Linked DNA regions of Arabidopsis thaliana. The protein of the gene in region 1 interacts with the protein of each later gene in a pairwise test. Each region holds a gene or a part of one and is shown on either strand. Other genes may lie near its edges. The genes, in order: CBL, AT4G07950 and AT5G44520.

The links.
Region 2: the proteins of CBL (region 1) and AT4G07950 interact in a two-hybrid assay, tested with the Arabidopsis thaliana proteins (one large-scale study listed by BioGRID).
Region 3: the proteins of CBL (region 1) and AT5G44520 interact in a two-hybrid assay, tested with the Arabidopsis thaliana proteins (one large-scale study listed by BioGRID).

The regions. Positions count from the first base shown.
Region 1 is NC_003074.8:21,112,438-21,117,075, reverse strand, and holds the start of CBL (cystathionine beta-lyase), read left to right. Parts: upstream 1-2,338; 5' UTR 2,339-2,554; coding exon 2,555-2,617; intron 2,618-2,679; exon of another isoform or gene 2,680-2,745; coding exon 2,746-2,914; intron 2,915-2,963; exon of another isoform or gene 2,964-3,016; coding exon 3,017-3,132; intron 3,133-3,212; coding exon 3,213-3,283; intron 3,284-3,383; coding exon 3,384-3,475; intron 3,476-3,580; coding exon 3,581-3,668; intron 3,669-3,756; coding exon 3,757-3,868; intron 3,869-3,973; coding exon 3,974-4,070; intron 4,071-4,175; coding exon 4,176-4,257; intron 4,258-4,337; coding exon 4,338-4,455; intron 4,456-4,555; coding exon 4,556-4,638. Other genes in the region: AT3G57060 (binding protein), read left to right, coding at 16-238, 323-422, 515-630, 715-772, 860-1,011, 1,093-1,297, 1,411-1,815, 1,901-1,998. UniProt on the Arabidopsis thaliana protein: Catalyzes the penultimate step in the de novo biosynthesis of methionine. Its role in methionine metabolism may affect plant development in different organs, probably by modifying plant auxin transport.
Region 2 is NC_003075.7:4,795,263-4,799,900, forward strand, and holds AT4G07950 (DNA-directed RNA polymerase, subunit M, archaeal), read left to right. Parts: upstream 1-2,578; 5' UTR 2,579-2,889; intron 2,890-3,624; 5' UTR 3,625-3,647; coding exon 3,648-3,843; intron 3,844-4,123; coding exon 4,124-4,248; 3' UTR 4,249-4,533; downstream 4,534-4,638.
Region 3 is NC_003076.8:17,934,523-17,939,160, reverse strand, and holds the start of AT5G44520 (NagB/RpiA/CoA transferase-like superfamily protein), read left to right. Parts: upstream 1-2,606; 5' UTR 2,607-2,629; coding exon 2,630-2,860; intron 2,861-2,997; coding exon 2,998-3,125; intron 3,126-3,422; coding exon 3,423-3,492; intron 3,493-3,575; coding exon 3,576-3,683; intron 3,684-3,769; coding exon 3,770-3,865; intron 3,866-3,949; coding exon 3,950-4,006; intron 4,007-4,105; coding exon 4,106-4,223; intron 4,224-4,295; coding exon 4,296-4,362; intron 4,363-4,445; coding exon 4,446-4,551; 3' UTR 4,552-4,638. Other genes in the region: AT5G44530 (Subtilase family protein), read right to left, coding at 1-24, 110-205, 283-680, 769-928, 1,019-1,230.

The DNA.
Region 1 (4,638 bases):
CTCAATGTATGCCAGCGAATCCAATCTTCAGCTTCTCTTCACAGTTGTTGAAAATGCACCGTCTGAAGTTGTACGATCGAATTGCACCCTTTCCCTTGGAGACTTGGCTGTTCGTTTTCCAAATCTTTTAGAACCTTGGACAGAAAATATGTATGCCAGGTTACGGGATGCTTCAGTTTCTGTCAGGAAAAATGCTGTCCTGGTCCTCTCACATCTTATATTGAATGATATGATGAAGGTTGGACTCCTTACCTCTCTCCTTGCTCTCTTTAAATATCTGCAATTATAGTTGGAGGTTTCATTTTGTGAATCCTGATTTCAGGTGAAAGGTTATATATATGAAATGGCTATATGTATAGAAGATGATGTGGAGAGGATCTCTAGTCTCGCAAAACTATTTTTCCATGAACTGTCTAAGAAAGGTCAGTTGCAATAGCTGCTTTACATGACATAGCAACTTCCACCTTTGAATCAAATTTAACACTTAAGTTTATTTTCTGCCAAACAAATCCAGGATCGAATCCCATATACAATCTACTTCCTGATATACTTGGGCAGTTATCCAACCGGAATTTAGAGAGGGAGTCATTCTGTAATGTCATGCAATTCTTGATCGGCTCCATCAAAAAGGTATACAGCTTTTCAATATTGAAGTTAGTATGACCTGTATTTATTCTTATCTAATCACTCATCTGCATCCTCATCAATCTCCAGGACAAACAGATGGAGGCTCTAGTTGAGAAGCTTTGCAATAGGTTTAGCGGAGTCACAGGTATGCTTGTATTGATGATATATCCTTACACCTGTTTTGGGTTTAATAAGAAGTATATCCCTTTGACATCTACACCTAAACTTGCAGATGGAAAACAGTGGGAATACATTTCGTATTCTCTTTCGCTGCTGACATTCACAGAAAAGGGAATCAAAAAGCTTATTGAGTCATTCAAGTCTTACGAGCACGCTTTAGCAGAGGATTTGGTGACCGAGAACTTTAGAAGCATAATCAATAAGGTCTGGTTTCTCTGGTTTTCGTCACCCTAGTCATTTTTAATGCTATATGTTAGTTTGACATCTGGTTGTGAATCTGAACAGGGAAAGAAGTTTGCGAAGCCAGAACTGAAAGCGTGTATCGAAGAGTTTGAAGAGAAGATCAACAAGTTCCACATGGAGAAGAAAGAACAAGAAGAAACCGCAAGAAATGCCGAGGTTCATAGAGAGAAAACCAAGACCATGGAATCCCTTGCTGTCCTCAGCAAAGTGAAAGAAGAACCTGTAGAAGAATATGATGAAGGTGAAGGTTAGTAATTTTTTGACTCTTGGCTAAAGCAAAGTTCACTGTACCAGACTTACGATAGTCAAATGCCAGTTAACGGCAAGCTTTTCAAAATGGACTGTTTTTTGTATTCTCAGGTGTTTCAGATAGTGAAATTGTGGATCCATCAATGGAAGAATCAGGCGATAATTTAGTTGAAACTGAGTCAGAGGAAGAGCCATCTGACTCGGAGGAAGAGCCAGATTCTGCACAATGTGGTACGGCCATTCCTCGTTATTTAAACCAAAAGACTAGTGGCGATAATTTGATTGAAACTGAGCCCGAGGAAGAGCAATCTGACTCGGAGCCAGATTCTGCACAATGTGGTACGACCAATCCTCGTTCCTTAAACCGAAAGACTAGTGGCGATAATTTGATTGAAACTGAGTCCGAGGAAGAGCAATCTGACTCAGAGGAAGAGCCATCTGACTCGGAGGAAGAGCCAGATTCTGCACAATGTGGTACGACCAATCCTCGTTCCTTAAACCAAAAGACTAGTGGCGGTATGTGAAAACTTCAATATGTATTTCAAAAATCTCACACAACTTAAGCTACATTTTAGAAATTGTTATATACCGTTAAGTAAAGTTGTGAGGTTTTCAGGGGAAGAAGGCGAATCAGAAAGCAAGAGTACAGAGTCATCGAGCAGCATCAGGAGAAACCTGAGGTCAGGAAGTAGAAGTTAAAGAACCATTGTGTAGATGCAGAGAGAGAGCGAATGTCTGTTCAAGTTGCTCAACATCTCGAGAGCTATCTTATAATTTACGTCTGTTTTGGTCACCGCTTTTGTTTCTCCCTATTATGCTTAGATATTGAAGAATCGACAATATTTATGTCTAATGTCCTAGCCGGTTTAGTTATGACAATTTGTAGCCAAAATATATAAGATCTGAATTAGTTTTGTATCAAATTTCCTTTTTCTTGTCAGTTTCACTGACGAATATATTAGTGGCCTCATGGGTACTTAAGAGTTAAGACTAAGAGTAGGTGTACACCTACTTTCCTCCACGTGTTATAACCAGACCAGATTTATTTCGGTTTTGTCTTATCGTATCTAAATAAACCGAAAGAAACCAAAACCGAGACTTAAAGCCGAGAGACCTTCGGTTTCTCTTCAGTCGTCTCTACTCTCACTTGAGCACGAGAACTGTCTCCGTCGCCGTTATTATCTCGTCGGCTAATATCTCAGACGAGAAATCGACGCCGGAGAAAAAGCAATTTAGTTCTCTTTCATCTACCAAAATGACATCTTCTCTGTCACTTCACTCCTCCTTCGTACCTTCCTTCGCTGATCTCTCCGACCGAGTAAGCTTTTTATTTTAATATAATTTATCGACCTCAGATAAAGTTAATCCCTTTTCTTTTGCTTTTGGTCTGGCTCTACCAATTTAAGTGATATCTAATCATTTTCGTCTCTGGGTGTTTCTCTGAAGGGTTTGATCAGTAAGAACTCTCCGACCAGTGTTTCCATTTCCAAGGTTCCAACTTGGGAGAAGAAGCAGATCTCAAATCGGAACTCTTTCAAGCTGAATTGCGTGATGGAGAAAAGTGTCGATGGTCAAACTCATTCTACCGTTAACAATACCACTGATAGCTTAAATAGTTCGTTAAGCTTAAATAACTTCTTTTTATTGGATCATATTGATGATAATCATAAAGTTAGCGTCTTTTTTATTGATTGATGGTGTTTCAATGTTTTTGCAGCTATGAATATCAAAGAAGAAGCTAGCGTCTCTACATTATTGGTGAACTTGGATAATAAATTTGATCCCTTTGATGCAATGAGCACTCCGCTTTACCAAACTGCTACTTTTAAGCAGGTATTCAGCCATAAAGCGAACAACTTCGTTTACTACGAGAAGATTTTGTCACTTGATACTAGTTTCTTTGCTTATTGTAGCCTTCTGCTATTGAAAATGGACCTTATGATTATACAAGAAGTGGCAATCCTACACGGGATGCATTGGAAAGGTAATTGTTTCTTAGCATCTTCTCGATTCCTAGGTTATTTAGCTATATTTGTATGTGTGTTTGTTCAACATTACTTATAGAAGTTGTATTCGTTTGTTAGCCTCCTTGCGAAGCTTGACAAGGCAGATAGAGCATTTTGCTTTACTAGCGGAATGGCTGCTCTTAGTGCTGTTACACATCTTATCAAAAATGGTAATTTCCGATACTGACTTCTCCTGGATTGTAATGTCTTTCAGTGTATTAGATCGGTAGCATAGACTTGGTTTCATTGTAGTACATTTGATTTTGTTTCTATAGGCGAAGAAATTGTTGCTGGAGATGATGTATATGGTGGCTCTGACAGATTACTATCCCAAGTTGTTCCAAGATCTGGCGTTGTGGTAAAGTTAGTATTGCTACCTTTGATTCTGAATTATATAACTAGTTATTCTTACAACTAAGATAACTTAATGATACCATTAAAAATCTTGTAGACGAGTAAACACAACTAAGTTAGACGAGGTTGCTGCTGCAATTGGTCCCCAAACAAAGCTTGTGTGGCTTGAGTCTCCAACAAACCCAAGACAACAAATTTCTGATATACGAGTAAATACTCTGTTTCTACAAAGTTTGGAGCCAGATACCACATGGCCGAAATCGACTTATTCTGCTGTAATGTTTAATTGGTTTGATGGTTTTCTGTCTTTGTAGAAAATATCTGAGATGGCTCATGCTCAAGGTGCTCTTGTGTTGGTGGACAACAGTATTATGTCACCAGTGCTCTCTCGGCCATTAGAACTTGGAGCTGGTGTGTAAAACAACTCAGACTTGCTTTCTATTGGCTAAAATTTTCGTTTTTCTGTTCTCAAATTTGCTTCTTAATACTCATATTTCAACTTGTCTGGCTTTTTAGACATCGTGATGCACTCGGCTACTAAGTTTATAGCCGGACACAGTGACGTGATGGCAGGTGTGCTTGCTGTAAAAGGCGAAAAGTATGTTGCCTCTACTCTTTTCTATCTGAGACATTTCTTTGAAATATCTGCTTTTCTTATAATAGTGTTAAACTTTCCAGATTGGCAAAGGAGGTGTATTTCCTCCAAAACTCAGAAGGTTCTGGATTAGCTCCTTTCGACTGTTGGCTTTGCCTTCGAGGAATCAAGACAATGGCTTTACGGATAGAAAAGCAACAGGTCTTGACTTGAACCCCCTAATTACCTTGAAATGTTGTTCTCTTTTCTTTTCTTTTATTGGTTGGTTTCATTACTTACAATAGATGGCAAAAATCTTCAGGAAAACGCACGGAAAATTGCAATGTACTTGTCTTCTCATCCAAGAGTAAAGAAAGTGTACTATGCTGGTCTACCAGATCATCC
Region 2 (4,638 bases), on another chromosome or scaffold:
GTTTTACGGTCGTGTTTTTTTTGTCAAATATTTTTAAAATATTTATGGTTATGTTTTCGGACAGTTATACTTGTGTAACTATAGCCGTATCTATTTGATTCTGAATGGTTGTATCTTTTTATCGTAACTTTTTATTAATATTATTTGCGGTTGTATCTTTTTATCGTTATTTTTGTTAATTGCATATTTTGGTAAAACTTATGTAATAATTCGAATATTTGAATTATTATTATAATAATTTAATACATAAATATTAGGCTTGGGCGTTTGATTATGCTGTTCTAGCCTCTTAGGATCCATAAGGGAACCAAAAAAGTTTCGGTTCGGTTCAGATACTTAGAAAGAGAGCCGACAAATTACCAAATTCTAATAGATATCGGTTCGGTTTTGATCATTTTACTCAAAATACCAAAAAAAGAAACGAAAAATATCCGAAACTTTTTTACCAAAATAATAATGGTCCAAAATATTAAAAAATTAACAAAACTTTTTTGGGTGATAGGTTTTTTAAAAATGTATTGGCTTAGATGTAGTTTTGTATAGAGTTGACCAAATATTTTTTGGTTCGATTTGGGTATCCATAGATATCCGTTTCGGTTTGCGTATACCGTATATCCAATATCCAATATCCAATGGATAGTTTGACTGAGATTCAACAGGAGTATTTAGTGGTATCTTGATACGAACCGGAACCCTTTTTCAGCTTGGTTTGGTTTGGTTCTTTGGTTCCGGTTTTTATGCCTTGATCGTTCTAACTTCTATCGTTAAGTGAAGTAGTGGTTACTTTTCAAGAAATTTTACAAAGCCGAAATACTAAAAAATTTGGGGTCGATTGGTAACGACTGTTATATTTGGCTATACAGACTTTGACTATAGAAATTTTGGTTGTAGAGAATTTGGCTGTAAAGACTTTGACTTTAAAAACTTTGGCTGTTAAAGTATGATTGGAACTAAAAACTGTAGAAACTGTTACTATTATTTTTACAATATATATTTAGAATTGTGAATTATTTGAAAATGAGTTTTGTGATAATATACTAACAAAATTAATTTATTATAAGTTTTAGAAAAATACAAAATAAAATAAATAGATAAATATACTCAAATCTCAGTAAATAAAAAATATATTTAATCCATATAAAGATCTGATTAGGTGTTTTGGATCAATGAACTATCACTGTGATGCAATTGATGCAAAAAAATAATGAAAACTGGATCTCTAAAAAGTGAAAATAGAAAGATGATTATTAATTAATCAAAATATTTTTGAGTTAAATTACTTATTGATAGAGAAATTGTTTTTCATTTGTCATGGAGAAAACGAAAAGAAAAAAAAAAGAAAAACAGATTTTATTTTATTATTTGTTTTATAGCCCAAAAAGTCTCACATTGTGACTTTAAAAAACTGAACCTGAATTGAATAAAATAAAGCAGTTAATTTATTTTCCATCATCCGGGAGTGTGAGAGAGTTCTCTCTCTTATCTCTCTAATATCTTTTAGAGAGAGAGCCACATCCAAGTTTCTTTTGATGTTCCACAAAATCCATTAACGTCGTCCAGTTTCTTAACGCTGGCTTTGAGTCTGACATCCACCGGCTTCTCATGCAGTAGTTGGTCAGCTTCTTTCACGGCATCATCTGGCTTTGTTAGCAGAGATGTCCGATCCGCCGTCCGTCAATGCTTTTCACAGCGTTTGTCAGCTTGCTTCTGGCATCCGTCGGCTTCTTAAGCGACGGTTGGCTGGCTTTGGGGTTTTGTTTTTATTTTCGTTTTCTCTCGATTCATTTTGCTTTAGTTTGTTTGGATTTAGTTTGCGTTTTAATCCTTTGATTTGACTGCATAATTCTCTGATCCTTCTTTGTTTAAAGAGCTTAATTCGATTTTCAAGCTAATTTTCTCAATTTTAAAAATCGGATTTGAAGTTGCGGATTGGAGTTGTCGTTGGATTGATTTTAACGTAATTGAGGCTAATTTCTTCTTACCAAAGCATGTGAATCGTTTTATCTTTCCTGTTTTTTAGGTTTAATAATGGAAGCCTTGTCAGCTTATCTTTTAAGTCGATGATCCCGGAATTCATGAACTGCGTTTATCCATGGAAGATTTCAATTTTGCAGATCTAACGGCGAAGTTTGTTTGGGATTCTCTGAATTTGGTGGTGATGTTCATCGGATATTGTTGAGCCTTGATGTATTGATGCTCGTTACGACTTTTTCCGGTGACTAAGAATTCCTTTCGGTTGCAAACTATGTCGGCTGACCGACGATGACCTAAAACTCCGACGTCTCACGTGTTATCATCATTGTCTCCTTTCGTGACACGTGTATCTGTGCTGGACATGATCGACTCTTCCTTCAACCAGTGGTTTCATGAATTGTTGGGCTTATGTTTGTAATGGGCTTCTTTTTGCCGTCTCTGATACCGGGTTTGAATAACCGGTTTGAGCGTTTGTCTCTTTGTACTTGAAGTATTGTAAGATGTTATGCTTTTAATAAAAAAAACTTTTATGTGAAAAAAAAAAAAGAATAAAATAAACCAGTTACCTCAGATTCCTTGGATACTTCAAAAATGTCGGTTTGCCTATGAATCATAGACTTTAAAAGCTTTTAAATTAAATAAAGTCCTTAAAGTGGGATTAGTAAATTTTTGGCTTTTAATTTTTGTTCCAATCAACCCCTAAGACACTCAAGAAAAGAAGAAGAAGCATAAAAAGAGGCCTAAATGCCCAGAGAATTAAACAAATGGGCCTTAATATATAAACAAACATCAATCTCTCGCCGTCAAAGGTTACATCTATCGCCGTCAAAGGTTCCATCTATCGCCGCCGCTGAGACCGCCACTTTAGGCCGTCTCGTCCGCAATCTCCGTAACCAACACCACCCGCATCGCCTGGTAAGCTCGATTTTTTAATCATTTCGATCTCATATGATGTCGATCTGTTCAATCTTGCGAATTCGATCTTTATTTTGTTCTGAGATTTAGGGTTTCACGAATTTGTGTTCTAGGTTTTCTGGCTTAATCATTTTTATTGTTAACTGTTCTGATTGGTTCTTATGCTTTTGGTTACACAAAGATCTCGACTTTTTGTTGACTCTGTATGCAAATTTGTCAAAAGTCAAAACGTTGTTACAGAAACTCTCTTTCGTGCTTGTGTTTATGTATGAACAATAGCTTCGCTATTGGGTTTGTTGATTTCACCACACTTGATTAAATATGTATATTCTATTGAAAATGTGGTCAATCTTGGCAATAAAAATTGAATTGTTGGTTTAGAATGTGGTCGTCACTCGTGAGTATAGATTGGATTAGTGGATCGAATTATTAAGTCAGTGGATTGAATTGTGGTATTATTAAATTGCTAGATTTTGGAGTTGGTTTCATTATTAAACCAAAGTCTAATGAATGTAAAGTTGAATTTATGGAAAAGTATTGGTTATTTCCGGTTAAGAATGGATTACTTGAATTATAAGTTACTTCATGACCTGCCTTGCTATTAAAGTAAAAACTGGTTGTTACACGAACACAGTAGAACAATGTATTAAAAACAGCCCTTCCCTCTCTCTGTCTCTATATATCTGTCTATATCATAGTTTTATGAATTGATTTTTGTGGGGGATGATTTTGCAGCGAATTGATCGGTGAGGTGGAAGATGGAGTTTTGTCCCACATGTGGGAATCTGTTGCGCTACGAGGGAGGTGGGAGTTCGAGATTCTTCTGTTCCACATGTCCATACGTTGCCAATATCGAAAGACGGGTTGAGATAAAGAAGAAGCAACTTCTGGTTAAGAAATCTATAGAACCTGTTGTTACTAAAGATGATATACCCACAGCTGCTGAAACAGAAGGTATTTTCAGTCTCTGGTCTTCTCTTATTCTAAATTTAGAACTGTGATTAGTTAGTTAGTCCATGCTCTGTTGATTGGTCGACTAAATTCGTAAATACTTTAAAGTTGATTGGTGGAAATCAGTTACATAATTACTCATGTTATGGAAAGGGCAAAAACAATAATGCTAAAGTGGTATTACATCATTCATGGTATGCAAGTGCAAAAACACTTGGGGAAAGAGTAGAGTAGACTTTTTGTTCAATGACTTTCTCATGTTGGGATTGTTTTGTTTTAACAGCTCCATGTCCAAGGTGTGGCCACGACAAGGCGTACTTCAAATCAATGCAGATTCGTTCAGCAGATGAGCCAGAATCAAGATTTTATAGATGCTTGAAGTGCGAGTTCACTTGGCGTGAGGAATGAACCGATGATCATCACCTTCTCTGTACCCGCTAATTTTGCAATCTTCTTTGAGTTTGTTTTACCATTACAAAGTTTGTAGTTCCTCTATGTACTCTGGTTCTTTCTGTCTCAGAGCTCAAGAGTTTCTGTATTTAAAACAATCGATAAAATTTTGGAATATTGTGCAAAGTTTTAATTTTTGAGGTGAAGAATGTAAGCAAATTGATCTGTTTTGAGATTTTTAGTATCAAGACTGCGATGTATTTGTTATTGCATTGGTATTTGACTTCTTCCTCTTCCTCTGTTAACGTAACCTCCAGATTTCAATTTCTCACATTTCTTCGTCTTCTTAGCAAGAAGATGTCTAAGCAGAGGAAAAAAACTGTATTAGCCACCGTTTTTCGCAAGTCA
Region 3 (4,638 bases), on another chromosome or scaffold:
TACAATGCCTTGTAAACAGAAATACTGAAAACAAAGTTCAAAAACATAAAAGTTTAAGTTAGTTTTGTATAGATTTCGACATTGATCTAAGTCTTATTATTTTACTTACAATGCACGAGGAGCGATTCCACTAGCGTATCCAAAGTTATGGTTAGAAACTATCACTGGAACTCCGTGGTTACCCGCTGCAACCGAAGCTGTGTGTCTGCATATATATCCAAAGCAACAATCTATAAGCTTCAAACTCTGTTTTTATATGATACATTCAACAGTTACACTTACGTTCCATGTCCATCTCCATCGAAAGGAGAAGCGTAATCTTCAGATGAGTTAAAGATTCCTCTGGTTACAGCGGATTGCGCGAAATGCCGTGCTCCAATAAGCTTCTTATTGCAAGATCCTGATGGAAAATCCGGTGTAACTTCACAAACACCTGAGAAATGCTTAGGGATTGGATATGAACGCTTAGAGTCATTGTCATTGAAACTAGGATGATTCGGATCGATCCCAGTATCGATAAAACCGATTATAACTCCTTCTCCAGCAATCTCAAATCCACCTTCTTTGACCCATGCTCCTTGTGGTAAACCCATAAACTGTGGAGTATAAGTTGTTGCTGTCCTAACAGAGTAATCCAACACTATGTTTGCTACTTCTTTTCTCATTGAAAGCTTCTCAGCCTTAAAAAAAGAAAAACCATAACACAAAAAAATCAAGATCAAGAACTCAAGATTATTTCTACAATTATCAATAACTCAAGATTTTTACCTGTTGTGAGTTAATAAACAGAGCAAATCCATTGATAAGATAATGGTAACTATAAAGCTTTATATACTTCTCTCCTTTTAGAGTCTTTCTCAAGAAAGAGTCATGAGATTGAACAACAGATGGTATCTTTGACTTCCCATGACGTTTCCTTGAATTGTTCCTATAATAAAAACGCAGAATACAAAAAGGGTTTAACTAAAGCTTCACAGAGAATCTAATGACAACAAAAAGAATAGAATTTTATCAGTACCTTGGTCGCAATTTTGGTGTAAACTTTGACTTTTTGTGTTTAAGCTCTTGTTCTTCAAAGAGATGGACAATAGGAGGTTGTTTAAGTGTGACAATGTACACAGCAGAATCATCATCATCGTCTTGTTGTTGTCCCAAAGTGTTATTAGACAAAAACACAAAAGAGATCATAAGTAATAAAAACCCAAACCTCACCAACATTACTCTAACCATTTTTTTCGTCTCCCTTCTAAATTAAGAAAGTGGGAAAAAAGGGTTTTTGATTTAACACTTTCCACTAGGTTTTATACAGAGAATGAATGAGTCATGAAAGCACTTAAAACCCCACCTAAAACAATGATAATTTAAGGAAAAGAAAGAAAGCTGCAAAAGAAGAAGAACCCATTAAATCATATTCATGGTGAACAAGTGGAATTGACACCTTTTTGGTGTAAGGAGGTCGGTGAAAGAAGAGTGCGTATTTATATAATATTGTATATATGTAATATAGAGATAGATAGATATTAGGAAGAACTGAATAATCTCACGAGAAAATATATGAAACTGTTTTTTATTGGATATTGAAAAATTGTGAGCCAAATTGAGTGGTTACGAAGAATTTGGTTCCCACATGTGCTTAAAGTAGAGGAGAAAGGAAGCAAGGAACACTCATAAGTGCGATCAAACTTAAATGACTCTCCTTTTTGTTTTCTTTCAATTATTTATTTTTTTCCTCGTTGGATCGTCAATACTAATAAGATATCCAAAATGATACAAGATAGGGTTTTGATTCCCAAAAAGTGTAGATTCTTGCCAATTAGTGGATGTATACTTAATGAAAGGTTGTAGAATGTGGCACGTAGAGTTATTCGTTTTCATGGAGAACATGTTCATCTAGAGAATGTCGTATTTGTAGAACCGTTTGAGAAAAACATTTTCATCAAAATATATCGTATATGCATAACCGTCCATTGTGGATTTTAATGTTGCAGAGAACTGTATCGTAAAATTGATAGGTACTGTTTATCGTAATCATAAATGTGATATATAGTTTTAATACGTCACAAATGTGATATGTAGTGTCAGTCTACACCATTTGGCGAGAACAAAATGGTAGAAGACATGGGGAGAATTCTAATACGACAGACAGCTCGACTAATTCGTTGGATTGATAAGCAAACCTGAAACACTCTTTCCTTTATCAGACTTTAGGAGATAGGAGATATCATAGAGGACTCTAAATGTGGTTTGCCTCTAGAAGTTAAAAATTTATTTAATTTTTCAAATTTCAGTTTTTTCTCAAATTCAAATTTTGTCGTACTTGTTGTAAAAACCGATGTTTTTTTTCTAATATAATTTAACATTAGATTAAAAAAAAACGGATTAGCTCAAAGACCATAAAATAAAATTTAAGGATATAGTTAGAATTTAAAATTTAGGTTTAAAAATTCAAAAATAATATTTGGAACTTAGTAATTTATGTGTTGCTTTAAAATTATAAAATTATATGAAAATAAATATTTAATATATATTTTATCATTTTTTTTGGAACAAAATATATATAATTTAGCCTATTTTCGTAATTCTCCAAAAAGAAAATGGTCGTGTAATATCGTCGTAGTTCGTACTCCACATGCACCACAAAACTGATCGGGAGATAAGAGCGGTAAAAACCACCGAGTCACGACTCAGTGACTCAAATCGTTCTTCCCACACAAAAAAAATGGTTACTGCGACAGCATCAACTCCATTTTCACTCTCGTCGTCCGTGGTTTTCACGCGCCGTCGTAATTTCAAACGTTTTCCAGTTTGCGCCAGTCTTTCTCCGGAGGTTTCTCCTCTTCTCAGAGCAGCTCATCACACTGTAAGGGTTAAATCGGGAAAATTGAATCCTTGAAACTCAATTTCAAATGGGTATTGTTTGAAATTGTGTTGAAAATTCATAAAATTGAAGAAAGATTGATACTTGATTACAAAACTTTTGTCTGGTAATGTTTTCAGGTGGATAATTATGTAAAGAGTGGGATGATTATTGGTTTAGGATCTGGAGAAGCTTCAGATTTTGCTATACGTTATTTGGGTCAACAACTTGGTTCTGGTTCTTTACATAATGTTGTTGGTGTACCAATGTAAGTCTTTTGCTTCTCTCTCTGATGTTTATCTACTATGAATCCAATAAAAAATCAATCTTTTGTTTGTTCAGTTGTTGAATTTCCCTATTCATTAGTTCTTCGATAATGATTTTGTTGTTGGTGTACCAATGTGAGTCTTTTGATTCTGATTCTGCTGCTGGTTATCTTCTATGACTCCAAATAAAGTATCAATCTTTTTGTTTGTTCAGTTGTTGATCTCTCTATATTCAATCTTTTATGTTACGAGTTGAGTTTTGATAGGCTTCATGATGATTTGTCCTGACCCTTTTTCAGGTCTGCTCGAAGTGCGAGTGAAGCAGCAAAGTATGGAATCCCCTTGGAATATTACCGGGATGGTGTTCAGGTAGCTGCTTCTCTGTGTTTTCTAAAGCGGTTTGATCTATTTCTGCATCTAGGGGTAATGTTTGCAGTGTGACACTTTTGTAGATTGATTTTGCATTTCATGATGCTGATGCTGTAGAAGAGAATACGCTTATTGCAGTTATTGGACGGCGGAGAAGTTCACAGGAAGATGACTATATTCTGAAACAAAAGGTGTATGCAGTTTCGTGTACTTTTTGCAGTCTTTGAATACTCATTGCTTAGCTTTGGGCTGACAAAAGAGAGATTTTACAATACAGTCTATTGTAAAAGTAGCTGATGAGGCAGTCTTCATGATAAAGGAAGAACAATACAAAGCCGGTCTTGAAGGTTCTATCCCTGTTTTAGTTCAATCTGTAAGTAAATTTCTACTGATGAACTTCGTTTTAATCCCTTGGTGATATGATTCAAAACTTTTATTCCTTGAACTTTGATTGCAGCTTAATTGGTTGGCCATAGCTGAGGAGATAGATGACTTGTATCTAGGCGATGCAGAGGTGTGAATCTGCTTCTTTCATAAATGCTTTCTCGGGCTTTTGGTTCTATCGATTGTGTCAAGCCTTGTTTGAGTCATTGTATTTTACTTGGTGGAAAAGGTGTGGAGAAGAGCTTCTGTTGAAAATGAAGGCCCTCTTGGAGGAGACTTTCCTATAGTTACCAGTGATGGTCACAACATTCTTGATGTTATATTTACAACTCCGATTCGAAGCCTCGGTAAAAGCTTATACTGTAACCATTGAAACTTGTGCAATGGTCTCTATTGTTGATGGATGCAAAATCCTGCAGCTGACTTGGCTACAAGCCTTGATAAGATTGATGGGGTTGTGGACCATGGACTAATTATCAAAACTCGGTTAGTTTCTCCAAATTAAGCAGTCAGGTTTAGTATGTCATTGGTCAGTAGTAAGAATCTGTTTTCTACTTTTGGCATTACAGATGCACGGTGGTGATTGCAGAAGAAACTGTTGTAAGAAGTGTTACCTTGCAGACCAGTGCATTGGAGGGTGGTGTACGAACCTATGGACAGACTTTGCAAAAGTAGTTCGTCTCACACATTACCGAAAACGGTGATCCATTTTGCCAGTCAATTTATAAGTCAGTTCATAGAGCAATGCCGTAACTTCTACAA